3 linked regions of the Lepisosteus oculatus genome follow. The protein of the gene in region 3 purifies or fractionates together with the protein of the main gene of each other region. This does not show direct contact. Links are inferred from orthologs where the notes say so. Each region holds a gene or a part of one and is shown on either strand. Other genes may lie near its edges. The genes, in order: cdk4, mrto4 and cebpa.

What was found.
Region 1: the proteins of cebpa (region 3) and cdk4 purify together in Homo sapiens (affinity purification with western blotting; 3 studies listed by BioGRID, with this or other methods). This does not show direct contact. The link is inferred for Lepisosteus oculatus from reciprocal best matches to the Homo sapiens genes CEBPA and CDK4.
Region 2: the proteins of cebpa (region 3) and mrto4 purify together in Homo sapiens (affinity purification with mass spectrometry; 3 studies listed by BioGRID and IntAct, with this or other methods). This does not show direct contact. The link is inferred for Lepisosteus oculatus from reciprocal best matches to the Homo sapiens genes CEBPA and MRTO4.

What each region holds. Positions count from the first base shown.
Region 1 is NC_090696.1:14,868,560-14,878,705, reverse strand, and holds the start of cdk4 (cyclin-dependent kinase 4), read right to left. Parts: upstream 4,313-10,146; 5' UTR 4,043-4,312; intron 3,821-4,042; exon of another isoform or gene 3,817-3,820; 5' UTR 3,685-3,816; exon of another isoform or gene 3,614-3,684; intron 1,068-3,613; 5' UTR 1,061-1,067; coding exon 843-1,060; intron 730-842; coding exon 594-729; intron 486-593; coding exon 318-485; intron 211-317; coding exon 101-210; intron 1-100.
Region 2 is NC_090720.1:5,918,816-5,929,268, forward strand, and holds the start of mrto4 (mRNA turnover protein 4 homolog), read left to right. Parts: upstream 1-5,970; 5' UTR 5,971-6,048; coding exon 6,049-6,076; intron 6,077-6,170; exon of another isoform or gene 6,171-6,267; intron 6,268-6,568; coding exon 6,569-6,627; intron 6,628-6,913; coding exon 6,914-7,017; intron 7,018-7,156; coding exon 7,157-7,238; intron 7,239-7,730; coding exon 7,731-7,798; intron 7,799-8,495; coding exon 8,496-8,647; intron 8,648-8,974; coding exon 8,975-9,051; intron 9,052-9,676; exon of another isoform or gene 9,677-9,957; coding exon 9,958-10,122; 3' UTR 10,123-10,453. Other genes in the region: emc1 (ER membrane protein complex subunit 1), read right to left, coding at 571-669, 1,015-1,086, 1,631-1,798, 2,022-2,177, 3,293-3,419, 3,706-3,834, 4,159-4,252, 4,625-4,690 and 2 more. UniProt on the Homo sapiens protein: Component of the ribosome assembly machinery. Nuclear paralog of the ribosomal protein P0, it binds pre-60S subunits at an early stage of assembly in the nucleolus, and is replaced by P0 in cytoplasmic pre-60S subunits and mature 80S ribosomes.
Region 3 is NC_090715.1:15,642,115-15,652,321, reverse strand, and holds cebpa (CCAAT/enhancer-binding protein alpha), read right to left. Parts: upstream 3,963-10,207; 5' UTR 3,679-3,962; coding exon 2,773-3,678; 3' UTR 1,539-2,772; downstream 1-1,538. UniProt on the Homo sapiens protein: Transcription factor that coordinates proliferation arrest and the differentiation of myeloid progenitors, adipocytes, hepatocytes, and cells of the lung and the placenta.

The sequences.
Region 1 (10,146 bases), on a different chromosome or scaffold from region 3:
CCAGCAAGGCTTCCGCTGTGGACAGTGGAAACCTCCACCTGCTCGAACCCAGGTCCCGGCGGACATCCCACCCTGACTTGAACCCAGGGCCAAGACCCACCTGCGGCGGAACATCTCGGCGAAGATGCAGCCGGTGCTCCAGATGTCAACCGGCGTGGCGTAGGACGACTGGAGCAGAACCTCCGGGGAGCGGTACCACAGAGTCACCACCTGGGGGAGCCAGAGAGGCGTGTCAAACACACGCAGCTGCACCAGCTCGCGAGGTTAAAGGAACAACATGCGACCCGCCCAGCAGGGGGCGCACTGCCGGCTCTTACCACGGGCGTGAGCGCCATGTGGCAGCTGTAGATGCGCGCCAGGCCAAAGTCCGCCAGCTTGACCTGGCCGCGGCTCGTCACCAGGATGTTCTCGGGCTTGAGGTCGCGGTGCAGCACGCGGTTCGAGTGGAGGAAGGCCAGGCCGCACAGCAGCTGCTGCATCAGGTCCTGCGAGCGGGGGGAGAGAGACGCTGTGGGGGTGTTCGCCAGCTCGCGGACCCCGCGGCAGGATCGCCAAGAGGGGCGGGGCCTGCAGGCCAGGCGGGCTGCCCTTACCCGAATCCTGTCGGGCGGAAGGCCGGGGGGCGGCGCCTTGTCCAGGTAGGTCTTGAGATCCTGGTCCACGTGCTCGAACACCAGGGTGACCTTCGTCTCCTGGTCCGTCCGCAGAGTGGCGCACACGTCCATCAGCCTGCAGCGCAGACACACGCACACACAGACTGTTAGACCGGGCCGGACCGGGACACGGCATGGGGGTTCGTGCGCGCACGTGCGTGCCGGCGGCGGCGGCGGCCGAGGTCTCACTTCACCACGTTGGGGTGGTCGAACTGCTCCAGCCTCTTCAGCAGGGCCACCTCCCGCACCGTGGACAGCGGCAGCCCGTCCTGGTCCGTCTGCACCCGGACGCTCTTCAGGGCCACGAACTGCCCGCTCTGCCGGTCCCGCGCCTTGTACACCGTCCCGTACGCGCCTCCCCCGATCTCCGCCACCGGCTCGTACTGGACCACGCTCTCCTGCGCCATTCCCAGCCTGGCAGACAGAGGGCGACGATGAGAGACAGGCTGGGGCTCCAATCCCCTCCCTCTTTCCCCCAGACTTCTGGGAAATGTAGTTCCAAAAGCCATCACTTCCATTAAAGGAGGTGATTTTAAAACTGGTCGGTCTATTAGCAAGACCTCATTTAGAATATCGTGTGCAACTCCTCAAATTCAAAATTCAACCTCAACATGAATTCTTAAATTTTCTATAAGAATAATCTTCACATCTTTGGAGACAATGTAGACAAGCGCTTTGTGTCACAAACAGGTAGCAAACTAAAAAACTCCAGCTCCAGTGTTTATGGTGACACATTTAGATCTTTTAGACCCTGCGGGGAAGCAATTCTAAAAACAATGTTAGGACTAGAAGTTAAGCACAGAAATTAAATCAAAGGATGTTAAAATAACAAAATGCGTTAGTAAGGCCTCATTTTAGAATACTATTCAATTTTCATCACCACACTCTAGAATCAGCGCAGAGGAGAACGACAGGGACTGTCCTACGCTGACCGGCTGCAGGAACTGAACCTCTTTAGTCTTGGGCCAAGGAAACGATGAGGGAACCCGATACAAGTTTTCAACACCCACAAAGCCATTAGCAATGTCCACCCGCAGATTTAATCCAAAATGAACACAGGTAACACGAGCTCCTGGACAAGCGGACACTACAGGGGCGTGGATTCGATACTGAAAACAGGAGGCTACTATACCCCAAGGGTTGTGGGAGAGTGGAACGAGCCGTGGCCAGAGGAGGCCCTCGGATCAGGTAGCTCCCAGCTGCCACAGGGGCTGTACGGCCTCCTCTTGCTGGACAGGGCTCCTGTGACCTCACAGCCTCCACAACGCAACAGCACCGCTGCTGCTGCTCTGGAATCAGCCCCGACACAACCCCGGGCCGAACCTTCCCCGTCTGCAGCTCAGACGCAAATGCACACCGAGCTACAGCCCCGCGGCACACAGGCGACAGAGCGCCGCTCTCCCGCTGTCCCCCTCCCTGACCACAGGGCCGGGCAGCTGGAATTCCCTGGCCTGTGGAATCTGACCTACAGCTCCAGCCAGCCAAGAACTGGGTCACCAGCGCATTCCTGAGGGGAGCGAGAGAGCCACAGTCGCGCAGGGGAGAGGGAGGGACAAGCTGACAGGGGTCGCCTCCCCCCCACCCCACCGAGCCCGGACCGCCCTGTAACTACAGCCCCGCCGGCCACTGGCCACCCAGGCCAGGTGACCACTCCCGGGCGGGGCAGGAGACGGCCCACCCCATCTCCGAGCAAACCTAGCCGGGAGGGAGCCCAGCAATCAGGCCAGCGAGCCTAAAGCTCTGCACCGCCACTGACTCATGACAAAACCAACCAGGGGTGTACTGTGTGAAGTCAGTGATATCCCGCAGATAAAAACAGGGAAACCCAAATAGAAGTCCATTCAATGTCTGTACCCACTGTTTACACCCACCCTCTTCTTTATAGCGCCACCTACTGGAGGGGTCAGACACCGCGCTTTTGTCACCAGGCGACCCGCGAGACCCGAGTTCCTCAGCACAAACCCGGCTTCTTCCAGGAGGTCACAAGGTCACCTGGTGCACTGGTAAGACACGGCTCGGTGTGGATTCCGCCTGGCTACGCCAACTTGAGAAACCCGGTGAGTCTGAACTGGAACTGCTGCTGATAATACTGTTGACGCCTTCATTCATGACCATCAGCACGATAGAAAGTGTCATAGAATAAAAAACACAAAGGTGTTTGTGTGCTGGGGAGAGAAACATGTTCTGTATCGACACCCGTGTGTGTCCCAAATGGACTTCTGCATTTCCGAATAATTAAATGATCGGTCACTACATATACATTACTCTAAGGCGGTCAGATACAGGCAGCCTGTACTGAAATACTTTCGAGTGGGGAGTTGAGTCACAGTAGGTTGGCTTCAAAGGACCAAGCAAACATTTTCCCACGGAATTACCCTCTGCCTGTTTCTGTTTTGAATTAGATGTACAGACAGCAGAGCTCGCTGCTCAGACCCCGCAGAAACACCCGGGCCGCGGTGGTGACGACTGGGTTTCTAGAGACCAGTACAGGCGGTGTCACTGCGGATGTCCGGCAAGAGCAGCGCTCGGAAACGACCAGCCCCTCTTCGGGCCGGCCTCGGAGAGGGGACGGAAGCGGGTGGGGGAGATCGAGGCAGCCGGAACCGAGGTCCCTGTGGAGTTCGGACCCGGCTCCATTTCGAACGGACCCTTCCCAGGAAGCGAACCGAGGAATCCAGTCCGGTAGCTCGAATGCGCGTCCCCGAAATTGGGACCGCCCAACATAGCCGGACTCACAACTAAGTTTTGAAAAGCGTGGCTGTGTTATTATTTCGAGTCCGACATTTTCTGGGCTGGGGTGCCACGGAGCCCGGTCAGTACGCGGGACCGAAGGCCGGTTCCCCCGGGCCTCCCTCCCCCGGGGCAGCCGCGAGCGCGGGGGCTTTCTCCAGCACGTGGTGACCGGGACGCAACTTCTCCTTTGTTAACCAGTCGGCCGGGGTGGATTCAAGCCCCGGTACCTGCGGTTCGGGGTCTCGCCTCAACAGTCCAGCCACCCGAACCGGGTCGCGCTGCCGGGCTGCGTGTTCACCTTCCGGTCTAACAAACTGCCCCCTCCCGCAGTTCGGCCGCAGACACGAACTCGAGCCCGGTTCCCCTCTCCTCCGTCCTGCGGGCTGTCGCCGCGGGGTCGCCGTTTGTCCCACGGCAGCTTGAATCTCGGCTGCCTCGTCATTTTTAAAAATAAAAAAAAGACGCGATTAACATTTGACTTTCCCAGATGCGAGTCGTTCCGAAGTGCTCGGCCGAACGTGGTTCGTTAACGCTCGTAAACCGCAGCGTGTTCAGTTCGACAGTTCTCAGACGGCATTCTTGCATTTTCATTTACCATCTGTACACACCTCGGCGGCTTGAAAAGGTAAAATAGGTTCGCTGAGTTGTCTACTTACCACGTTGCTTTCCGACTGTTTTAATGCACAATTAAACTCATTTTTAATCAGTTATCCTTCTGGCCTTTGAATAGCTCGATTCCATCCGGAGGTGCTCGAAGAGAGCCCGCCTACAAATGTTTTTCCCCCCTTTTTGTTGCTAAAAGGGTTTGTTTATATGTCTAAAAAATGTAGAAAACTTTGGCCTGACTTTTTCCTCCCCAAACACTCCGAAGGCTCATTCATGGCCATCAATCCAGCCCCGACCAGCTTCCTGTCCGGGGGACACGCCCCCTCGCCCACACAGCCAATCCCCTTCGCGCATTCAGTAGCACTGACTCCCTTGGTGGCTCCGCCCCCCTCGGAATTATTAATTCATAAAAAATTCACATCAGACAGTGAAGTGCCAAAAGCTTTTAATTGCGATTATGGGGTGCGGTTATGCGTTTAAGGGTAATATTGTTTACATATATAAATCTTCAACAGGACCTAATTCCGCAGCTTTACCATGATACCCGATTTTCTAACTGTGCACTGTGAAGAGGTTTTACAGCACAGACCAGGAAGAAGTCGGGTTTGAAGCGAGAAGTCTCTGTAATGCACGTAAGAGCCCACGTCTTTTTGGCGGCAAAACTTTTGTTGCAAACCATATTTGTATGAACACAAGCGTATTTTTAGAAAGATGAAGAAAGTTTCTTTCTCCCAAATATTACAAAGCAGTTCGTTTTTTAATTAATGACATTGACTACACCCCAAAAACTTCACATTTTGTACCGAATACATCAGTTCAGGAGTGCAAAAGCGTAGCCATGGGTACAAACTGCAATCTTGCAACAACGTATTTGAGCAGATTAATGTATATGCCTCGGCTCAAATCTAGACACACTGGGTTGTTGTTATAGTAAAGACGTGAAATTCTTCTGTAAATATTTAAGGATTTTTAAAAATCCCAGTTTTCCCCTCCTACTCTTACACTAACACAACACAGTGTTTGTCAGGCCCGGCTCCCCTTCCGCCCCACAGTCGGCACGCTGTGCGTACCGAGCACGTAACCACGCCCCTTCCTCACCACGCACTGGCTCCTTGTTGCGCCGTGATTGGCCGAGAGGCTTTGTTGCTAGGCTCACCCGCTGCTCTGCCGCGCGCGCTTCCCTCTGCATTCCAGAGAAAGCAGGAGGAGCTCGTGGACGGAAACATGCGCCGCAGTAACACAATGGCTGTAACACACTGCGCCACAACACACAATCACACATTGAAGCACTGTGTACCACTACATCACAATAAGACATTTAAACGGTCTATATTGGTCACACTGTAACACACAGTACACACTGCACACACTACTTCAGTGCATTGTAACTGTAACACACAGTACAAACTGCACACACTACTTCAGTGCATTGTAACTGTAACACACGGTACACACTGCACCACAGTCACACTGCAACACAATGCACACTGCACCACAGTCACACTGTAACACACAGTACACACTGCACACAATACTGCAGTGCACTGTAGCTGTAACACACAATAATACCCTGCACCAAAATCACACTGTAACACACATACCACTGCACACAATACTGCAGTGCACTGTAACTGTAACACACAATAACACCCTGCATCACAGTAACAATCACACTTCAAACAAGAGTCCTTCCAGAGTGTATCCATAAATCCGGCAAATTATCCACCTTTATAGCTGCTTGGAACAATCAGAAGGACAGGACATCCTGTAGGCTGTCCCTTTCCTGCCTTCCTGACGGGGGACCGGAGGATGTCAGAGGTGCCTGCGAACCAGGACAGTCCCAGAACTGTGCAACACTGCCCTGTCACTCCAGCCCTCCCTCCTCACAGACGCCTGAGAACGTAAAGGACTGTGGTGCGCCCTCAGGCATTATGAAATCAAGTGTTTCAACTCCAGTCCATCTAAGCTGCAGTGGGCTCTAGCTACAGCCAGTCATTTTAAAGAGCCCAGTGCTGTCGTCTGAGATCAAGCCCGGGCTGTTTCATTACCGGCTGTTGAGTCAGTCCTAGAGTACCTTTGCAATCACTACATCTCATCCAGGTCCCACTGGTTGCAGCTTTGATCTAAGTGTATTTCCTTAGGTGACCCAAATGACAAAATACAGCCAGTTGCTTATTACCAGATACTGCAGAGCTGGGGTTCCTGTGGGACAGCGGTGCTTGTTGACTTCAATTCTGGTCCAGATAAATCACGCCCAGGACAGATAGATGCACATCCCAGTCCAGTGTAGTCTGGCTCTGTACTTTTTTTTATGGCAGGGAAAATCATGTGTGTGTTTTTCATATAATTTGACCTGTGCTGTGGATATTCACTCAGAATGTTACATGCATGAAGTATCCAGCTTACACTAATGCACTAGTATTAGCTTAGCTGCAGAAGAATACAGAGCTGATGGCAAACCATGGAGTGAATCAGACTGCAGTGCTATTGGAGACTTAATGTCCTTCACGAGAGTTTACTATAGACCTGGAAGTATGTTTGTGTTCTTTTGCATGGAGAGGTGGACCACATGGCCCCTTTGAACTCAGTTTCCTGGCCAAATTTCCCCCTGATCTTTCCCAGTAATGGCCTCCTAAATACCCCCATGAATTGAATTGGCTTCATCACTCTGTTCTCCACTGATAGCTGGTGTTTGGTGAGGTGGTGAAATCCTGGTGCACTCTGGCTGCCGTCGCACCACCCAGGTGGGAGCTGCACACTGGTGGTAGGGGTAGGTAGTCCCCATTATTATTATTATTATTATTATTATTATTATTACACTGAGACTGAAGGCAGCTACTGGGAGGGCTATCACTGGGCTGGGCTCTCATCATGCAGTGACATTCTATTTATAATGTGAAAGTGAGTGTGGCTGCACTGAGAGTGCCCAGTGTGTGAACAGGGAACAGGGGAGGTCTGTGGGAGTGTGTGATTAGGCCTCTGCGTAGTGGTATCAAAGGCTGTTATTTCTGATAGAGGCCGGGGGGTGTTTTCTCGATGAATGGCCGGTGCGTCTGTGTAATCGTCCACACATGGTGAGGCTCCGAGAGACGGAGGCACAGTGACCACAGCTCAGTGGAATGTGCTTCAGATGGCAGCCACATGTCTTCTGACGAAGATGCTCACAGTCACACGTGCCTCTGCAGACACTGTGCTGCTTTACTCTTCGAGTCAGTCCACACTCTGAGGGGAATGTTTCAGATGCCCCAGCCTTCAAACACACCATATATGTACATAATATTACCAGCAGCCATATCACCCTGCAGCTCACACCTGGCAGCCCACTGGAGCTCAGCAGGTGTGAGCCTGGCCAGTACCTGGATGGGAGACCTACTGGGAAAAACTAAGGCTGCTGCCGGAAGAGGTGTTAGTGGGGCCAGCAGGAAGAGGTGTTAGTGGGGCCAGCACAGGGCGCTCACCTTGTGGTCCATGTGGGTCCTAATGCTCCAGTATAGTAACGGGGACACTATACTGTAAACAGGTACCGTCCTTCGGATGAGACGTAAAACCGAGGTCCTGACTCTCTGTGGACATTAAAAATCCCAGGGTGTATCTTGAAAAGAGTAGGGGTGTAACCCCGGCGTCCTGGCCAAATTTCCCATTGGCCCTTACCAATCATGGCCTCCTAATAATCCCCTTCATCACAGCTTCATCACTCTGCTCTCCTCCCCACTGAGAGCTGATGTGTGGGGAGTGTTCTGTCGCACTATGGCTGCTGTCGCATCATCCAGGTGGGGCTGCACACTGGTGGTGGGGGAGGAGAGTCCCTGTTACCTGTAAAGCGCTTTGAGTGGAGTGTCCAGAAAAGCGCTATATAAGTGTAAGCTATTATTATTATTAATATACAGTATATGTTCCCTGCTGTCCTGTCATGTTTAGATCAGGACCATGCCAGTTCATTATCAATGCCTGCCAACCTGGCACTTGACTCTCACATTAGGTCCAGCACAGCACACAAGGCCAAGTAATGCCAAACAGTTGTTTGAGTCGGCTCCCTTTTGTGCTTGATGGTTGTACCCTTTTTTCTGTTGATGCTATTCTTGGGCTTGAAATAATCAAGCAGCTTTCCAGTTATGGCTATAATGCAGTTTGAAAGCACAGTGCCTTCATCTGCTGCCATCACTTAGAAGCAGAAGAGTGAGTGGACAGGTGGACGAGAGAGTGGACAGGTCAATGAGTGAGTGGACAGGTGGACGAGAGAGTGGACAGGTCAATGGGTGAGTGGACAGGTGGGTGAATGAGTTGACGGATGAATGAGTGAGTGGACAGATGAACGAGTGAGTGGACAGGTGGATGAGTGAGTGGACGGATGAATGAGTGAGTGGACTGATGAATGAGTGAGTGGACAGGTGGATGAGTGAGTGGACGGATGAATGAGTGAGTGGACAAGTAGATGAGTGAGTGAAGGGCCTAGAATAGGACATGTTCAGCCCAGAAGACAGAAGAACACAGATCTCCTTCTTTAGCTTAAGTAAATGTTTCACTAGGATATCTGAATGCTCACTTTCTGAGATGAGAGAGTGTATCTGGAATGAAGGGAGTTCAGTTCAAAAACCACAATAGTTAATTACCTTGTGTTTAATATATTGACAGTGTAGAATAACTCCACGATTTGTATTGTTTAATCCTTTATATAACCAGATGTGCCAATTGGTCAAGACTTTACCTCCGGCGTACTGCTGAACTAAATCTTGGAAAACAGAAGTGTGAATCTAAAAAAACTGGTGCTACAGCACAGAACGGAGCTTTGCTCAGTTACGTGAATTTGTTTTTGAACAAGACCTCAGTAATCTTTATTTTCTTTACATTTACTTATGTATGTGCTATTACATGTATATACACACATAAATATACATTAAGCTACTGAAGGTTGACCGAATTTGCTGTGTTGGGTAATACAATTCAGTTTTCTCGGGCACACAGGCGCGCAAGTCCGCCACCTGGTGGCGCTCGCTGAGAGCCGCAGTCCGGCTGCCCGCGTGAGAGCGCCGCCCGTCTCCCGCCGCGGGCCTGCTTCTCGTCCTCCTGGCGCCCTGGCGTCCCGTCGCTCAGTTTCACGCTCTCGCCCCGTGAACGCCGAATGTAAATCCGCCGAACCCAACAACCTAACAGTTTTCTTTTTCTTGCTACAGCACAGGCTAGACGGAGTAAACAAGGAAGTGTAAACAGCAGGGGGCAGCAGAGAGGTCTCTCCTTGGCGTTAATAGCGCCGCGTGGATCAGCGTTTCACAAAGGCCACATCCCTGAATTCTGTGCTGTTCCAGAGCCGGAGCCCCCCAACCCACCATGCTCCTCTTCCCTCCCAGCCCCACCTCCCAAGCCCGTGTGAACATGGGGGAACATGCAGACTCCACACAGACAGGCCGTGGCACCATGCAGGCCCCTGCTCTGTTTCTGTGATTGTCTCTTCGCCAGCGGCACGTCTGTGGGTGATGTCCGGAGGGGTGCGGAGCCCCTTGACAGAGGTGCCGTCTCACCATCCTGAACTGACTGTTTCCAAAACTCAACAAGACCCTGAGAGCCCATGTGACACAGGTGATGCAGGTGACACACATTTGATGTAGGAGACAGAGATGATGCAGGTAGCACACAGGTGAGAGAGGTGGCAGGTGATGCAGGTGACACGCAGGTGATGCAGGTGACAGGTGATGCAGGTTACACGCAGGTGACAGAGGTGATGCAGATGACAAAGGTGATGCAGGTGACAGGTGATGCAGGTGACACGCAGGTGATGCAGGTGACAGGTGATGCAGGTGAAACGCAGGTGACAGAGGTGATGCAGATGACAAAGGTGATGCAGGTGACACAGGTCAAAATCAAGAGACAGCGCAGTTCTGGAGCACAACTGGAAGCACTTCTTTACACAAAGAGTTGTAGGTGTTTGGAGCACAAATCAGCTACACTTTGGAAATGGATCATTTGATTGATTCGCATGTTGTGGCTGTCTCTAGACTGACACGCCTGTGGGCTGCGATGCACTGGGCTGCCTGGCACAGTGCTTTCATCTTGAGAATGAGCTACTGTTGCTCTACTTCCTCGTTATTAAACCTCGCTTTGAACCCACCTCCTCACTCCTGCCTCCAAAAGTCCTTGAAAACGACACCCAGTCAGACAG
Region 2 (10,453 bases), on a different chromosome or scaffold from region 3:
CCTTTATTGACACTCTAGACTAAAAGTTGTCTATATCCTCAAGATAATCACCTAAACAGATTTTTTTTGCGTTGTTTTCAATTTATATTTGACTTTTACCATGTTTGTTTCTACAGCTATGCCCCACTTCAAACTAGAGAAGGATCCTGATAGCATACGAACCATGGGATTACACTGTGCCTCACTTTGGCACTGAGTTTATACTATGGACCAAACTCAAGTGACAGATAAAATCTCATAGTCTTATCTTAAACATACTCAAGGATCAATGAGTACTTTTGAGATTCTGGATGTTTTGAGATTTTAAGAACTACACTATGGGGTGCACTTATGCACACTGATTAATTCCGGGCTTGATGAAGGAAAAAAAACTACTAACTGACTGACAGCTACTGGAAATTGGAAGAGAAGGCATTGAAATGACAGCAAAAGTATTGCACATGTATTCCCGCCTTGTAACTTAAGAGTTATTTTGTCTTTCTAAACCAAAACCCCTATGTACACTGCACTGGGCTGCACAGCCCAGCTGGGGTAGGGGCTTGTGCGGAGTGAGGTGACTGTCCTACTCACTCTCTCTGGCCGCCCACCACTGGGGTCCGTGTGGTAGGTGATGGAGGTGTCCAGGAGTCTCCTCCCAGATGTTGCAGAGTACAGATTGATGCTGCAGGCCTTGAGGGGAGGAAAGGACGGAGGGTTACAAGCCTGAAATTTCAACCAGATGAACTGTGGTGATCAACGATGAATATCATGGCATGGCATTATAGCTATCTGAGCTTAGCACTGTTATTTCTCTTAAATGGCTTACTGGGAAAGATACAGCAGTTCAAAATTTAATTTGCAAGGTAGATCAGTGCATATTTTTCACCACAGCTGGCACACATGGCAGGGTAATTCATAATCCTAGCAGCCAGATACAGACCTCCTCCAAAACATTCTTCAATCACAAATTACTGTATATGTATTGGGGGAAACTACAACTGCTGCTTTGCTCCCCAGTTAATCTGATTCACTCACGGTGTTGTTCTTAGGCGTCATGACAGCAGCCACAGTCTTCTCCCCAGTCGTAGCGAAAGACACCAGGAAAGCCTGAAACATTTCCCAACATCATCCGCTTACTTCAGTGGTTCTGAGCCTTTGAAACAATGTCCCCCTTTCCGTTAACACAACGCAACAGGCCCCTCTTTGGTGTATGACCTAATAAATGTATTTGAATATTTAAAAAAATGATTTTATTTCAATAACTATTTGTGACCAATCTTATACAACCAAAATTATTTTTAGATAGTGAAACAGATTTAAGGTAGCATGATCTAAATTCAGTTGATTTAAGAATTTGCCTTAAACATTATCAATGTGAGCTCTGATGCTGCATATTTGCCACAAGCTTTGACATACTCAGTTTTGTGGAAAAAAGAGCACAATGCAAGCTACTTTCAACATCAAGCCTGTTGCGGTGTTTATTTCTGATCATCGGAAGTGTAAACATCCAGCCTCGCGCAGAGAGGTAGATGAAATTGAGGATGTGCAGAGGTTTTTATGTTCAATTAGTGTGATTGGATCAGACTTTGTCTACTAGATTTTGCTAATCGATGCTCTAGAATGAAAAGCGCTGGAGGCAGCTCCTGCTTACCGGCTGGAAGGCCCGGAGGGAGATAACCAGGCCGTCGCCGAGCTGCAGCAGGGTGTGGTGATCGGGGCCGAGCTGCAGGAAGAACTCGGGGAGCGGGGGCCGGGCCGGGTTGGGCTGGGTGGACACAATGACCGGCTGGAATCCAGGGGACACCTCGAGATCCAGAGACTGGTGAGAGATCGAGAGGGAGGAGGAGCACAACGTTAACAAGGGCTCCCAACAGCACCTGCCGATGGGAATGGTTTATTTCCTCCATACTACACCATTTCCATCTAAAGCATATATATATGAAAAACACTCTTTAGACAACCAAAACAATGAAAGTAATTAAAAAAAGTTATGAAAATTTACTCTTTCATTTAATAAGTACTGTGCTGAGCAGCCAGCTTACCTGCAGCAGGAGCTGCTTCATATCCTGCTGGTGGTCAGTGTCCAGGGGCAGGGTGTAGAGGGACTGGGTGGTGGGGTCAACACACACCAGGACCCCAGTGCTGACCACTGCACAGCCTGGCTGCAGACTGGCCAGCCACGGAGCTTCCACAGATCTCTGCAGAGGACAGTACAGCATCATTTAAACCTATTACTTGATCATTTTAATATGGTGAATATGGTTTAATATGGTTAATGGTTTATATGGTATGGTTTAATATGGTTAATATGGTGAATCCCATTGGTAACACACGTGGCTTGCCATGTACACATGTATATAAGGCACCAGCATTGTCAAACTAAATATAATGGTGTTAAAACCTTGTAAAATGTGCTCCTTTTAGTATGTACTCTGCTACTGCATACAGTATTTCTCACATATTAAACACTACTTAGTAAGACACTGTCCATAAACGCCTTGTTGATTGGCTGCATAACTACAAATCAGAATCTTAAAATTTAAAGATGATGCAGTCAGACCTGTGTCTAAAAGCTCTACCTGGCTTTAGGTTGTGACATGCCAGAAATACCTGAATCTTTGTGCTGTATTTCAAATAATTCTTGCAGAGAGTTTATCATGTTAACAGCTGCAGTTAACTTTAAAGACTGAACTTCAAATCCAGTAAACTAAATAAACACAGCTGAGGCATTTATTTCTAGCAAAGCAAACAAATATTTTTGGAAAAATATATTCACAGAGATATCACTTCTTTGTGACAAAATGACACATGAAAACTGTTTCTTACTTAACAGTATAAGAAAGATCAGTTCTTGCAACCAGCACAGCTAGAACCCACTTGGATTTGTCAACTCTATTATCAAGACAAACAGCTTTCATTGTCCTATCTTCCAGGAGAACAATATTCTCAATATTATCACATACAATGTTAAAAGTCATAACAGTAAAAATAAGCTCTAAACTATGGCATGATAATGGCACTCTGAAAAATATTACTAAAAAGACATAACTGTACTGTTGCAATATACTTTTATAGTTTTTAGGGGCTAAAGAAGCATTCAATACACAGAACAGAGACTAAATGTTCTTTAAATGGTTCTTCAAATGTGTTTGGCTTACGATGGCCAGTAAAATAAGTGTAGAGTTCAACACAATTTACTGTTGAAGTAATTCAATTTCAGGCTTCCTCAAGTTTAAAAAAACAGATAATATCCTAAGAAGCTTCTTTGCTTAAGTGATACGTCGACATTTATTGCCAATGAATGCATGCTTACCTGTTTCATTATCTCTCCATCCTCAATGTTGTAGGCAATGATGACAAGATGGGAGTGAGGCACTACTCCCAGCACATAGACCTCTCCACTACCCCCCGAGTACACTGTCTGGTACTGCACGGTCTCACTGCAGGAAACACAAGATCCCACACTTTGATCTCCTTTTTCAGACACACAGTGCTCTTGTAAAGGCTTTACACTTCAATAGACTCCAATAACTGTTGAGAATTACTGGGTTTCATTGAGCCAAATGTATTTTAACTTAAGTAATTCACCATATTATAAGGTGGAGCTATCATGGTTTCAAAATTCCACTGACAGGCTGTACTGCTGCTCATGATTCCATAGGAGCCACTAAAACACTGGGATTGGGTTTGGAAAGGAGGGAAACAAGCATCATTCTTTTGGCCTACCTATCTGGCAGGTTCTCTACCCATCTCTGATGGCCGTTGGAGAGGTAGTGCAGGGAGATGGCACCTGTCTTCAGCACAGCCACATACTTCACCGAGTCCTGCAGCCCTACAAAAGTGGCCGCCTGAAAACTGTGCCAAAGAAAAAGCAGGTTTTGTCAGTCACTTCAAACACTTCACTGACAATTAACTAGCAAAAAGCTTAAAAAGTGCAGTACTCTTGAGTATAAAGAAGGCATTAACATTTAAAGTACCATACTTATACATCTTCATGTAAAGCAGTACGCTGAATACGTTCCGGGAAACACATAAGTGCAATTTTCATTTTGTTTACACAAGTGTAGAATTAGTACTTTTAAAATTTAAAAGTTTTCAAAAGCACTATTTTTTAACAGCTGGGTAAAAACGAATTAACACCATCTGGGGTGAGACAGCTACAGTCATTGGTTCATTTACCTTCCAGTGTCCAACAGGGTCTCCCAGTTTAAACCACCAACGTTGGTTTCCCAAGAGCGCACCAATCGCCCATTTCCAGACACCACCACTGCATCTGGGGATAAACGCAAACAGAACAGTAAGCCAAAACAGCAATCATGATCCCATCTGACTAACCTCCCTTCACCTCATGATTCTAGGGCAACACCTGGTATTTGGCATCGTGTATATTATGCAGCAAAACTGCTACTCTTAATGTAATTTTCTTACTGTAACATCACATTGCAAATTAATATGGCAGTGCAGTAACTCTCATAAGCCACTGATCTCTATTATGGAAAACGAGGATTAGTTTTTGTTACTTTATACTTAAGACTTTCAATTAATAAAGTAAAAACAGCAGTGTTTATAAAACACAAGCACAGAAACCAGACTGATGCTACTAGTTATTTTGCTCCATTGCACTCCAGGAAAGAGCTGGACTCACCTTGACCATGGAACAGCATCGTTTCAATGCCTCCCTCTGGCCCACTCTTGTCCACGTGCCTCCAGACTACACACACGGAGGAGAACAACATCACAGACCACGAGAGAACTGACAACAACCCCCTCGAGACTCGTCAGATATTGAACATGTTTTTACTGAGAATGTCATCTGTCAGCAATTAACAGAAGTCTGCCTAGGATGTGTCAGATCTGGTACCAGTTCAAATTATAACAAGGTGCAAGGTAATCAGAGAAAGACTTTACTGAAACACTCAGGACCAGCACTATGCCCCCCTTTAAAACACGTTTTGCTGATTATATGTATTTTTCACTTTTAGACGAACAGTCCAGGAGACTAGTGGAGATTTGGTACATTTTCCAGAGGATGTAGACAGCAAGTTCAGTCAAAGACACATATTCTGCAAATCTGCTTCTACTTACAGATTTCTCCATTCCTGGAATTGAGGGAAGCGATAATATTCTGCTCGGTGGCCAGCAGGAGCTTTTTGGATGCCTGCGTTTGGGTGTCGAAATAGGCGAAGCGTACTCTGCCTACATACTGCTGTCTCCTGTGACAGAGAACACACGGGTGCCGTCACTGAAGGGCTATTTCATTAAAAAGGTTATGTACAGTACAAATACATACATTCAATGCACAAAATACTCGGCCTCGCCTCCTTCTTGGAACGAAGGTGGACAGATTTTCCATCTTTCAAATACTCAAGAGTTAAAGAACCAGCCGCTGGATTTTGAACTGATAAAAAACTCATCGTTCGACCTACAACACATTTTCATCTAGTTAAACCAAAACTGCAAAAACTAAGGGTACTGTTCCGTACAAAAACTAAATTATCACGGTTTCACACACTAAAACCCCACACGAAGTTACACGCTTACACAGACTAGGAAGCGTTACATTTGTTCAAATGCTAATATGTCCAATACACTCGGGAATCTGTCACAGCCCTCTTTCATTAACGAGCAGTGCTGCTCCAGGTACAAAAAACGCATCTTCCGTCCAAAACGATCGCGTTTAACTGAAACCGTAACTCACCAGTCAAACTTCCCGACCTGATCTTCAAAAACAGCAGCAGAGTGATATAATAAGAAGGAGAAAAAAGCGAAACCGGCCAAAAAACCTGCCATAGTGAAATAGAAAGACCTCCACTAGCCCACAATCCACCGGGAGATGAAGTTGAGAAAGATAAAAATGTACTCCCTCCAAATTGCCAGATAGAATACGAATTTGAAAAATAAAATAAAAATTCCAGAACATGTATTTAATTTATTTATCGCATGAACATAATTATATGTGTATTTAATTTTGTTGACTGTATATTTTCAGGCAGTGTGTGGACAGCCTTTGAGGAAGCATCGCGAGCGTGTGGGGTCTTTGAGTAGCGTGGTTGGTGCAACGTGAGAATCATGCCGAAATCAAAGAGAGACAAGAAAAGTGAGTTTAAATGTTTAGTTTTATCCTTATTTTTTTTTTAATGCGAAGACATGATCTGAGGACATGTTATCTGGGGAAGAAAAATCAACGTGGTGATAAAATGAGTGTATTGCTTAACTAGAAGAGATCATTTCAGTGTGAAGTAGTTTATGTTTCCAGTTAGAACTTGAGAAATATTTTATTTTTCCGAGGTTAGTAATCAGTTCAGACACAAGAAATATTTGAAATGCACTAATTAATTGATAATGCCTGTGAACCTCCAAAAATTTGTATTTTGCCAAATTTTCATCAAGAACTGTACTCATTCTGACTGGAGTTTATGATGTTGCGGTTTATATTTTGACGAAGATCTACAGACTTATCTTCTTTTAAATGCAGGATACAGTAATTTTCAGATTGTGCTTTTAATAACATAAAAATCATATCAAAAAGTATTAATGTAAAACAGATGTCGTTTAGAAGGAGTCCTTACCATGGTATGTGTCTTTACAGTCTCTTTAACAAAAACTACAAAGAAGGGACTGGAATCCAAGCAGAACTTAATAGAAGAGGTAATTTCCGTTTTCCTGTTCCCTTTTCAATACATTATGGCTAACTGGCGTTATTGTGACATGGCTGTTGGTACTGCTGGCTCACAGATTGTGAATCCCTTTCTGTCTGGAGCTTCCTCTCATGCCTTTACGCTGGGTGATCCTGTTCATTCCTGCCTTCCGAAAGACATGCTGGCTAGGTTAATAGATATCTCTGCCCGCACACCATGCAATAGGCTCTGAACCTTATCAACCATAAGATTTCTGATGGATAGTTTGCGGCTGTAATTAATGTCTGTTCTCTTAGCTGCGGAAATGTGTGGACATGTACAGCCACCTCTTCATCTTCTCTGTCGCCAATATGAGGAACAGCAAACTCAAAGACATAAGGACAGCGTGGAAGCACAGCAGGTGGGACAAAATGTCTTCTTGATAAAAGCACCCTCATAACCTTGAACCCCATTTGCCTTGGCATTTCTAGTTCCCTTGTTCCTCACTTACATTGCCATATTTTTGGTTTAAATCTTTCTCTCCCTTTTTTCTTCTTCAGGTTCTTCTTTGGCAAGAACAAAGTAATGATGATTGCTTTGGGAAAGGGGCCTGCAGATGAATACAAGGATAATTTACACAAGGTACATCATACCAGGCAGTCAGTGCCTTGTTCTGTTCATTTTCATTTGTAGGAGACAAAGATTAGTCTGCAATAAAGCCTATAATTCATACATTGAATAACACTAGAAAGGCAGCTTAATTCCAGAATATTGTGAAGTAAGAAAAACATAAAGGGGTAGATTTCATTCTGAGGATAGATGATGTTAAAAAGGAGGACTTCGGACCTGAAATCTCAAAATTCTGTAGATTTTCTGTAGAAATCTGTATTTAAAAGTCCAGTGTTCACACTACGAACCCGCTTGGCAGTAGAATGCTGTGAATGTGATGGATCTGCAAATGTAATGCTTTCATTACTTGACTGTTGTTTAAGAGACTCTTTTATTTACACTCACCAAATTAGTGCCAAGTGTAGAGAAATGGGAAATGATGCCTGAATTGTTTCTGAATTATTACTGGCTCTTTCAGTCGCAGATCTCAGTCTTCAGTGTCTCAGTGATCTTTATATCCTGTAGGTCAGCAAGTTTTTGAGGGGCGAGGTAGGCCTGCTGTTCACCAATAAAACCAAGGAAGAAGTGCAAGAGTGAGTATTTTTTGTGTGTCAGGGGGAATTAAATATTGCAGCAGCCAATTATTTTTACATTATTCACCAAATGTAGGATTCCAAATTATTTAATAGTGGCTCCTGTACCACTCAGGACAAAACTGACAAGTGGGCATATCTTCCTACATGCCCACCTGTTAGAGCCATTCACATTTGATTTATTACAAATTACATTATTATTATCCACAGTCCCTTTATAAAATGGAGCAGCAGTGTCTTTCAGCACCTTCACTGCACACCTGAGGGTGCTAGGTGGGTCACAGGCATTGATGTTTTCCCAGAAAGGGCATGGAGCCCAGGCTGACTAATCTCATCCCTAGTCTGGGGGTGCTCAGATGCTTGTGTGGCACCATCTAAAGACTCCTGGTTACAGTCAGCTAGTGACATGAACCAGAATCAGACTAGCAATGTGCCGATGTAGTTCAATGTGTGTCTGGGGCGGGTATCTCTACTGGTTGAGCTTCTCGGAAGCCCTAGTGTCTTCACTTCTGAAAAACATTTAACAGCAAAGTAAATATGTACAGATAATGCCTTCTCTTCCTGTCTGGCTGCAATCAAATCTTCCTGTCGCAGTATGCTTCGTCAGATAATGAAGTTAAAGAGCAAACGCATTAGAGGAGCCACATGCTGGCTCATTTCTTTAAATAAATTAGGACTTCTTTCTTATCTGTGACAGGTATTTTAGCCATTTTAAGGAAATAGATTTTGCACGGGCAGGGAACAAAGCAACTATGGCAGTCACGCTAGATGAAGGACCTTTGGATCAGTTCTCTCACTCCATGGAGCCACAGTTGAGACAGCTGGGTCTACCCACGGCTTTGAAGAAAGGTAAGAAATGTCGGACTAAACAGCCTGCTCCTGCTTTTTTCATGCAAAAGCTTTATTTTCCCCTAACCTGAGTTCTTTAATGTTATGTCCACTCTGTCAGGAACTTTTTTCTAGTTATTATTCTGAAACATATGTCATTGTATTATCTCTTATACTCTGTACATCTGAGAAGGCTGTGGGGTCAAGCTGCAGTTTTAACGAAGAACTAAGTGATCTCAAGGGCATCAGTTTATATCATTTTTTAATCTTCAAAACTGTGCATTCACTACTCATGCCTATGTGTTCACTTTGTGTGCGTGTTAATTGTCCCGTGTATCTTCTCTGCAGGAGTAGTGACTCTTCTGAAAGACTATGATGTGTGTAAAGAAGGAGATACCCTGACTCCTGAACAGGCTACTGTTCTGGTGAGTTCATGCAGTGTCAAGCGTGCTCTCGTGTCTTATCTTCATCTTTGTATTCCTTCACAGCTGAGGCTTATGATTGAAGAAAATCCATTGCAATGGAAATGCACCAGTTCTAATCGATCTCATTATAGTAAAAGTCAGGGCAACTCAAAGTCTATCCCAAAAGCACAGGGTGCAAGAAGGGACCATGGTGAGGTGCTCATCTGCACAATAGCAATTTCAAAATGCCAATTAACCTAGTCTTTAAGAAGGTGGGAAGAAACCCACAAGAAGGTGACTGCTAACTGCTTTGCCACTGCCACAGTGTGCATCATTTGCAAGAAATAGTGAACAAAAGTGTTCAGCTTGTTTAGAACGACATAGAGGAGCAAAAACAACACAGGTGGGAAGGAGTAATGGACCACTCTTATGATATGCATTCAAAGTGCTACACAGGCCCACAAATGGCACAAGAATTTAGCCCATAGGTTAAACTCGCTCACGTCACCGGAATGATTGAATGATCGAAAGATCTACTGAAGCCTGACATCTAGCACAGGTTTTGTGTGTATTTCTCTGGGCCAGAGCAGAGGCAGTGGTCTGTTAAAGCAGCTGTTTAGTAGAAATAAACTGAAACCAGTCCTAGTTTTTGAGATGATGCACTGTTTTATTCTCTCCTTTCATTTCAGCTTTAGATTTTCAAACTGAACCCTTTTACAAGTCAAGTATGCGCATATTAGTGAAGTTTTAAAAAGTTGGTCTCTAGCGTGTTGGGTGTTTTTGGTTACGACAATGGGGTTGGTCAGTTTCATGCGTGAATGGCACTGGAGCAGACTGCTGCTACCCTACACATCTTTGTGAATCCGGAAGAGCAGAAGCCTAGTGTAGTGTAAGTGTACCCCTTACAGAGCCTCCCCCTTTTTTCAGAAACTGCTCGGGATCAAGCTGGCTGAGTTCAGGGTGACGATCAAGTGCATGTGGAACTCAGAAACTGGAGACTTTGAACACCAGGGTGAAGAAGAGGAGGAAGCGGATGGGTCTGATTTGGAGGAGGAGGAAGATGAGGAAGATGATGAAAGCAAAAGAGACTGAGCATGAAGAGTGGGATTTCAAGAATGCTGTTTTTGTGTTGTGCCCTCTTCCCTCCAAGACTTTCTAGAATGAGTGTTTTCTTAAATACTTTCACAGTGCCAAGGATTGCTTAGTTAAGGCATCCAGACTCATACTGCATGCGGTATACTGAGAAACTACACTCTGTGTTTTTAGTGTGTCTCAGGCTAGAACTTTGCATTGTACATGGAGAATATTGTTAATACAAAGACAAAGTCTACAATTTGATGTACACTGAGAGTAGGGCAGAATAATGTATATCTAAAATATCATATACTTTGTAAAAATAAGTACAAGATAATAGGATACAGTT
Region 3 (10,207 bases):
CTTCAGTAACTGCATAGTCAAGTACAGGCTCACGATGAGTCCAGCAAATAATGGGCAATGCTGGGCACACACAGGGGGCAATTTACAGACTTCAGATAACCCAGACAGCACGGCTTCTGGCTGTGGAAGGAATCTGGAGCACCTGGTGAAAACCCAACATGTGGAAACCAGGCAGGCTCCATGGAGAAGGTACTCCTGGGTGGAATCGAACCCGGGACTCACGAGCTGCGAGACAGCAGTAATACTTACTGTGCCACTCCGTAATGCCCACGTCTAAGTGCATAATCTTCCACATGCAATTATTTCACCCCAGTACTGGCACAAAGCCAGACAACGCACAGCCACTAGATTAATATAATGTACATTAACAAAATGCTCATTTTAAAGGTGGAACTATGGTCCAAAATTTAAATAATGTACTAACTTTGTATTAGGTTTAAACAACTGACATTGCTGAAAGGATTCACTTTCACAGAATCCACTGCACCACAAAATATGGTTCATTAGGTTACGATCTATACTAGGAAACACAAGTTCTGTCTCCCCATCAGTCGGAGAACATGATGTAGCAGCGTATGCTTGTCGTTTAAAATGCGTGCATGTTCATTTGAAGTAAACAGAAAGAAATCACCATAATGTTTAGAATGAACAGAGAATGACACGTTCATATATGCATTGCCAGGTTTGAATGGAAAAGTTGTTTGAATGTTTTACATTCTTCCATGATTTAAAGTACTTTGATGTTTCGTGCAGAAAAAGTATAAATCTTGAGATGTTTCCCCTTGTTAAATTGCAAAGAAAACAGTCATCAGAAAGTTCCTTTTCTGAATATAAAGGTTTTGTTGCAGATATTTTAAGAGAACATATAAAGCAATAATTTACTATTAACGACTGCTGTAAATATCTGATCTTTCCAAAAACGTATGTCTTTGTCATACCACATTTACACTTTACAGGTGCACAAATATTTAAAATTATACACACTTTTGACAATATGATATGAGTCTGTTTAATGGTTATGCGCACAACGTGTTGCACAAAATAATAAACATTGAAAAATTAATGTCACCCTATCAATAACCCGAATTTAAATTGCTACTATTGGAAAAGCGATGATCGCCAACCTCTACTTACTAGTGTTTATAAAGCGCCATCTACCGACACTTTTTGGAGCACTACCACAACTGTGACAGAGATTTTACAGGAATATTTAATAAGAAGATATACCGAATTAATAAAAACTAATCCCAATAAATTACATAATTGTAAGTATGTTATTCGATTTTATTTTATACATTATATAGCGTAATGGCGAAGCATTTTAAAGAAATAATATTTAGATTTAAAATAATGTACGTGGTAAATTGATAGCTGCGCTTGTCGGACAACTGAAGTGAAATTAATCCAATGTTTTTTTTTTTACCTTCTGCTGAGTTCAATGATAAAATACTATTGACTTACTTCGCGGGTGTAGAAAAGCAGCAAAAATAACAAAAAAATCAATTTGGTCTTAGAATAAAAGAGACGTAACAACAAGATATAACACAAGGCTTTCATTTATTATATTTTTCAATAATTTTTGGCATATATCATGTATATTTTTATTTTACAATTTAAACGTACTTAAAATATTTGTATTACACGGCAAAATGTCATTTGTAAAAAGTGCTTGCTTTACTTTTATTTCCAAAACTTTCGACCAGTGATATCGTGAAGAAAAAGAAAGGTGGAGAAGGCACTTAATCCGGGCTTCTGCTCGAGAGAACGAAACAGTGCGCAGAAACCAACATCATCGAGCGGATTTCTAGAGAACAGTATTTCACTGCAAAATCAGTGAGAAAGCACACCAAAGTGATATTTATATGGAATCATGTAGATGGCAACAGACACTGTGTAAGGCATTCTTTCACATTCTGAATTGTACAGTATAAATGTAAGGCTAAAATCCAAAAGCATACATTGAGAGACGTTTAATAGAACTACACCCGAGTCTATTGCCATTTCGAAAACACAATGTGCTTCATTTACTCGTATTCTGACGACATACAGTATAGTGCATTGACAACCTGCTTATATGAAGCAGAAACAGAAACAAGATTATAGCACTTGCGTTCCAGTCCTTTACTTTGGCGTCTCATAATTCAGTCGTTCTTTCCCCTTCCACCGCGCATGAAAATAAAAAGTTAATTCTTAGACCTTGACTGAAACGTTTAAGGCAAATGTACTCAAAATTTAAATATGCTGTTTTCGGACAGGTGTGAAAAAGCAAAAGATTTTCAACTTTTTGCGCACGTCAAGAAATTCCTTAAAGCTTAAGTACTTAATATTGGTGTTGACAAGCACAAAAACAGCATATTTAGAAATATCGTGCGCATATTATTTTTAAATAGTTTTCTTAAGGCACAGCGCATATGGTATTTTGACAAAAATAGGCATTATGAGGAGATCTGAAGTTTTAAAACATGAACAAAGATTAAAAATTACAATTGTAGCCTACCTTAGCTGCACTGATATGTTTTTGCTTAGCTAACAAACACACTGGCGGGCGCTTTCTTACATTTAAGGCACGAAAACACTTAAAACCTCCACTGATAACACTTAAAAGTGTGGGAAAAAATGAGCTTATCGTTTTGTACAAAAGGCACATACATGTATACCTCAGCTGCCTGGCTCCTTAAAAAAATAAAGGTTCGAGAATCTGTCACATCTGTGGCTATAAGACCCAGCAGAAATCATACCAGTGAAGAGTCCTGCAAAGTTCCGAGTTCCTTTTTACGCACAGTTGCCCATAGCCTTGACCAAGGAGCCATCGGGGAGTTGCCTGAAGATGCCCCTTAATGTCTCCAACTCTCTGGTGAGGTGCTCCACCCTCTTTCGCAGTCTTTCGTTGTCGGTTGACAACTCGATCACCTTCTGCTGGGTTTCTACATTGCGCATCTTCGCCTTGTCCCTGCTTTTCCTGACCGCTATGTTATTGCGCTCTCTCCGAAGGCGGTACTCCGTGCTGTTCTTGTCGACGTGCTTCTTGGCTTTGCTCCGGTCTCCGCCGCCCATCATCTTCATGGAGCCCCCCGGGAGGCTGTTCTGCTGGTGGTGCGGGCTGGGTACCGGGGTCGGGGGGGGCGTCGGGTGGCCGGGCTGCAGGTGCATGGTGGTCTGGGCGCAGTGCGCGATCTGGTACTGGAGATGCGAGAGGTGCTGGGGGTGGGAGTGGGGGTGGTGCTGGGGGTGATGGTAGGTCGGCGGCATGGCAGACTGGCTAGTGTCTTCGTCCTCCCTGGGCTCTTGCTTGATCGCCACAGGTCGGATTCTCGTGGCGGAAGGGTGGTCGTAGATGGGGTCCAGCTTTGCCGTGTCCATGTAGTTCGACATGCAGCCGTAGACCTGCGGGTGGGTCACGGGGCCGCCGTGGCCGCCGCTGGCGTAGCCGAACTCGCCGCTAGCCAGCTTGGCTTTGTCTTGCTTCGCACTGTTGTGGAATAAATCAGCCAGAAACTCGTCGTTAAAGGCCGCGGGGTCGATGTAGGCACTGATGTCTATGGAGTTCTCGTTCTCGCAGATCTCGCTGATGTCTCCGGCCGCTGGAGGCTCTTTGTAGCAGAAGGCACTTTGCTGGTTCGGGGGAATGCTGCTCATCAGGGGCCGAGGGTCGACCTCGTAGAAATTGGGCTGCTCCATGGAGTATCTAAAACCAGCCAGGCATGGTGAAGAGCTCCGAGAATCCAGCTTGCTCGCAGTGCCGCAGAAAGCCGCGATGGCTCGGGGAATTCAAGCAAGCTCAGGTTGCGGCCAGGTACTGTAGGTGAGTGGCTGGGTGAGAAGCAGTTCAGGTCTGGTCTGCCGCTATAGATCGGGCGGGCTTCGACAGTGCAAACTGAAACAGGAATGCTTTCCAAAAGGCAGTTCCTTAGTCTCACTTGGTTTGTAAGCCCCAGTAGCTCACAACTGATTTACTCTCCCGACTCAGTGATATATATACCGTGCTGTAGAGGAGGCCGCCTGCTCTTCAGGGTCCTAGTGCGCCTGGAACAGAATTCCCTCCCGACTGAACTTTACCCGAGGGTACTTTAAAAGAGCGGGGGCAGTTCCCCTAGAACCGTCTAAAATAAGTGCATGTAAAATAAATTAACTTTAAACATTCAAAGGGATTTTATTTTTAGGAACATACCTTGGCTGATGGAATTCTAAAATACATTGCAATGAATACGGATACCCCCCCCCAAATTGAATATTCATTCGATATCATGTTCATTCAGGATTAAACATTCTGTCGAAAAAGTGCATGATGTATTGCCTGGATGTATTTAGATGTAATCGATATCCCATAAAAATATGGGTTTGACGCTGCGAAATCGTTATGATATCTGCGAGCCTTATGTATGTATTATAGCTATGAATGTAAGTTAGCTTCGAAAAATCATATCGATAAGTGTATGATATACACACATATATGTGGGCAAATTTGCCTAACAGTTTAAGTACATACGAGTACGAGTCTCTTATATTCTGTATGCGGTATAATACCGTCGGTTTCACTTTATACTACATAATGTAATAAAACTGAATAGCAATATTGGTTAAGTGGTCCCTTCGTAAGATTTGGCAACAATTAGATTAGCAATATAAAAGTCCGCCTATATAAGTGAAAGAGTCGTTGGAAAATGCTATATTAATATCGCTAAACATGAGTGTTCTTTATAGCAGGAGTCGAGGTAGAACAGGAATAAACAGTAATTGCTGTTGGGTATGCGAATTTTGCAATAGGTGTGTTATTTTTATATACGCTACTGTATAAATTGTATGTACCCAACTCAGGTTAAATTACAATGCAAAACTGTGCATTGCAGGGTATACTATACTACCAGCAACTCATTTTCTTCAGGGATCCAAGCACCGAGTGAGGGCTAAAACTACAGTAAAAGTCATAATGAAAACCGTGCACCTTGAAGAAGGGGCTGGTGCCTAGGTGAACATTTTAATTGATGTGACAGAGTGACACTGCAGCTCTTTTACAAACGCTCTCAAAGAAGAAAGTATTAATGAATAGCCCTTCTCTGCTTTGTTTGCAATAGCGGCTCCGAATCACAATTCCGATTTAAAAAAATTCAGGTGACAGCGGGCTGGGAAAAGGGGACACGAGGACAATTTCGTTTACTTCTTTTTTTCTTTCTACTGTTTGATGTTCCTGTTGCTGCGGTCCGTCCCCCCGCCAGCCAGCCAGCCAGCGCAAACCTGCCGTGTCTGGGTATCTTCCCATACCGCGATCAGCCCGGACAGACCTCCTCGACACGCCGACGTGACTTGTCGAAACGCACAGAGTGTTCCAGCGGCGCTCCTCCCCTTGAATGTGAACTACAGCTGATTAAATACCGCTACAATGATTTCAATATCTGCGGCGTGTCATTGGGGAGGGAGGACTTTAAAATATGCACTATTGCATTAGACCGTTTTCCAGACAATACTTCAAGTCGAGAGTCGATCTTCATTGATTGTCTATTAGTAGTTACTCTACAGTATAACGAGATTTTCCCCTATAAGTATGACTTCACTGCACAGTACCACACGAAGGGCTACCTCGGAGTGTCGGTTTGTAACTGTATTTTACCACACGGCAGATGGAATTCCCTGTACCCGTTATGTCTGATGAAGGGATTTTGTTTCTAAATCAAGAGCCCCGGTGGGGAGTTTTTTTTTTCTACACTTTGTTTTGCGGATTTGCATATTTGTCCCTTAGGGAAAAAAGAATCTGTAGATGACCTATAGGTTTCTAGGCAACTGTAAGAGTTGGGAACCTAAAGACAAACGCCTAGGTGAGTTTCCCATGGGCTGCTACTACAAGAGAGGTCCCAGGAGCCCATGGTTAGCCCAGTATGCGGCAGCTAGGGTGCAGGGAACATCAACCTGTACTTAACCAGAGAAGCAATAAGCTGTGTTGGGAATTTTAAACTCCCCCCCGACAGTCAGCCAGTCTTTTCACATCCTGTTATCTGAGTGTAGGTACATATCCCTTAGTCACAACGCTGTCACCGAACTCCACTTCTACACCAAGCTTGGACGAATTACTGAAACGCTTTCACCGAATCATTCTCGGTCACAGTAACAAGTTAGTTCTTGTGCTGAAACTGTACCAGCATTGCTTGATTTATTCCGCGTAAACTGCATTGTGCGAACAAACTGATTTATTCTGAAAGCTGATCGTTTTCTTGAAAATTTAACGTCTCCGTACAAAAGCATATGTGTGCGTAGCGAAGTGTGGTAGTGTATCTTCGACATTACATTCAAGTAAAAATGAAATGATGATGCATCCTTCTTCTTCTTATTATTATTAATACACACATTAACCAGCATCAAGAAAACAAGGTTAAAGGTTTCTTCTAGTTACTTGTTAGAATCGCGGAGTAGTGAAATTGCTTAATAAATGCAATTGATTCACGTTAGGGTGGCTGTACTATATTTTGCCAACATTGCAACATTTTGGCATTTGGCACTTAAATATATTTTGTCTGCCTGCAAATCGCTTTTTCGAGACAATTGTTGGAATTGTCTGTTAAGAAGTCAAAGGACACATTTTCGACTTAAAAGCTTAAAAATACAATCCTCATAATTTCACATTTTAAGGAAATAATGAAGGCAGATGAACAAAAGTCCGATATTTCCCAGATATTTTCTAGCTGTATATGTACACCGTGGTGTAATGTAGAAACTTGCATACTATTACATGTAAGTAATAATATACTAATAATGAAGAGAAAATAATGAAAACACTATGGAGGTAATTTCCGTTATTAAATTAAAACAATACAATTGAACAGATGTTGATAGTTCTTTGTTTTCAAGCACTGCGGTAATGTTTTAGTAAGGAAAAGGCAACAATGAATAATATAAAAAACACTATATTTCAAGAAAACTTGAGGCTTTTATGATATCACCTTTATTATTCGAGTGAGATGATTGTACATGATGCTATCATAGTAATCTCAATGTGCTGTGTGAAATCGACTACAACGGCTGCGATTCAGCCGGTGACCTGAAGCTCGCTCTCCGAGACTTGGCACAAGTCAGACTCCTAGCTAGCGACGGCCTGAATCGTGACTCTGCCTTTCCTGAGCGGGGAGCTCCCTCTGTTGTTTCGCGGAGAACTTGTTACTGCTGGAGGAAGTCTGTAGCCTCAAGCACTGAGAGCGAATACACTCGGGTTACCCCGCTTTACGCTTTTTCTGAAGTCCTGATTAACCAACCATTGAATTTCAACGGTGACCGCAAACGGTGCCCTGCGTGCGCTCATCGGAAAGCAACCGAGACTATAAAATAACAAAGGTGCCTCCGATCTGGCGTGTTGCTGTATCACAGAGCATTCCTTTTATCAGGCTGGATTCTGAATTGCTCAACTGAAACAGACGATATCCGTTAAGTATTCAAAAGCAACCGTAAGAGCAATGAAACACAGACTCGCTCAAAGTCAACAGAGGGCAAGATGTCAAAAAGATTGTCTGTTGATTATCGACCCGACTCTAAGGAGGTTAGTGAGATTCTGACTTTTTTTTTAGGTTTTCACTTTCTAGTACCCTTTGCACAGCTGTTTGAAAACATGTTTCGAAAAACGTGTTCTGAACATCCAAGTGTCGACAACAGAAAATTCTATAAAAGGTACGAGCGCTCTGTGCGAGGGCTGTGCACAGTGTCCCTGTGGACTCAGTGTTTCAGGTGGAGGTCCCCAAACACAGTAGAGATTTAAGCATGGCGGTGTTCATAACGACGATAAAAAACATCTCATTAGTAACATTTTTACTGTGGGCAATGTTCTGCGTCGCCGTTCAGGAAAAAAAGCAGGTGCTGAAAACGATGGGTGATTGTTAGAAGAAAATGCAAGAAACCAAGAGCACGTACCAGTAAATATACATCTCGGTATTACTTTCAGTTATCAGTTATTATTGCTTATTGCTTATTAAGTTTTATTTTCAGGACCAGTGCTCTGTCTCTCCTATCTTTGGCCTAATAATGTTAATACTCACCTTATGGTGTAAGAAATACCATAAGGTTCATCTCCTGTTTCCTGGTTCATCTAATGATCCATCTCAAATTAATTTTCACCCAAAGAATATATATGATAGACAGAAGAGACCTCTAAATGGCCTTTGTTCTCCCTGTTAGAAAACACAATGGGGTGATACTCCCTGGCATCCAGAGAGCATTGTTTTTCAGATATTACCAACAGTTTCTTTATATTTGGTTTAGATCATGTAACCCTTTTGTGTTTAGGTTTAGATCCAGATATCTAGTAAGTCCTTTTTCAGAAAGTTACAGAACTCAGAGTTGGAAAGAGTTTGGGGGTACCAGGGGGGTTACAAATCCACAAATACTACATTTCCACACGCTGACATTGATCGATTAATTTGTGAAATGCTAAATATGTTGGTGTGTATCATTTGTGCTTTTACAACTTAACCCCTTCCTCCACTCTTTGAAGAACAGCTTGTTATGTGACACATCATGCCTGCAGGTCATCATTTATGACGCCCAAAGAAGACTCCACACCCAAAACATTGTGTTTTCTTTCTTCTCTTTTCAGCATGGAGTAAACCCTGACTTGTTCCTTTGCAATCATCATTTATGTCAGGGGAGTGAAGTAAAGCACCAATACCTGCCTAATTGTGTTTCACTGCGGCTCTGCTAATTCGTACATATTTGTCAACTACAGCATTAAACTAATGTACACTAAGGGGTGTTTTTATTACTCTTCTTAATCATTTTGGACTAAACAATCTTGTTTCTTTTGTTATTGAACACTTTCCTTGTGAAAACTGTAAGGTATGGAAAAAGTCAAAGGGAAGTAAATTATTAATAGTAACTAAGTTTCTGTTAAACTGTAAATGTATCTTCACTATCTCCCCAAGGGCGAAGCAATTGATTAATAAAAAAGCTCATGAAATCTTCATAGGTTTGTTTCTTTTTAAAAAAAATAAAGGGAGAAGTCACATTAGAAATGCAGTGGACTTACCTTAATTGGAAATTTCTTTTGACAGAACGACCTTTTCCCCATTTCTGATCTGTCCACATCCCACCCTAGAGGGTTCTGCCCTGCTCACAGTCCTGAACTTCACCACGGCAACGTCCTCTTTCCAGAATTGTTTTGGGGAAAAAAAAAATAGTAGACGTCTGGAGCTGTTTTAAAAAGTGCAATTAGAAATTTGGATCTTTCAGACTTCAAGCATGACTGAGGCACAACTTTCAGCACAAGAGTATTCTACATGACTGCGCACAGAGAAGCCCAGCACCTTCAGCTGCTGTAGGGGTGGCGTGGGCTATCCCAAGAGGATGTTCAGACCTCAAAGGGGAGCAGTATAGTGGTCCTGTGCCATAGGAGTGAGTGCCTGGCAGGAACTGGCATGCCGAACCCCCTGCGATTATAGTTTATCAATAGGATTCGAGTCAGGACTCTTCACATAAAGCCGCCACAGCCAAGCCTGACAGTAGGTATCGTACTGACTGAATGATGCACCATGTTTACACTTTGCGATTTAGGCCACCAAGTTCCGCTTTTGTCTTGCCTGCCCACAAAACCTTTTGTCGCACGTTTGCAGAATCACTTAAACGCTGCTGCATCCTCCCATGTGGGAACGGACGTGGATTTTCCCCACTCTTCCATACAGGCCCCCTTTGAGGAGCGGCTGGGGTATTGTTGACTCGCACACATTTTCTTCCATCTCGGACAACAACAACAACAACAACAAGGAAGTCTGAAACCCTTTCAAAGTCACAGTTGGCCTCACGGTTCCCTCCCTTCCAGTTTCCTCCTTGCCTGGCTTCTCACTTAGCAGGGACGGCACCCTCTAGACAGTGTCTGGGTGGTACGATACACATCCATCTAATCTCTTCAGCCAATTCAGGGTCACAGAGAAGCCAGAGCCTATTGTGGCAAGCAAAGTGCGCAAGGCAGGGTGCACCCTGTATGGGAAGCCAATTAATCTGGCAGTATGTTTGGGACTGTGGGAGGGAACCAGAGGACCTGAAAGAAACCAGCGCCAACACAGCAAGAACATGCAAACTCCATATAGACAGCACCCCAGGTCCAGAACTGAACCCAGGGCCCCAGCACTGCAAGGCAGCAATGCTAATAGCTGCACCACCATGCCATCTGTATGATACAAATCCCACTTCTTAATGAGTGACTTCACAGGGCTCAGGGATATACAGTGTTTTTGAATTC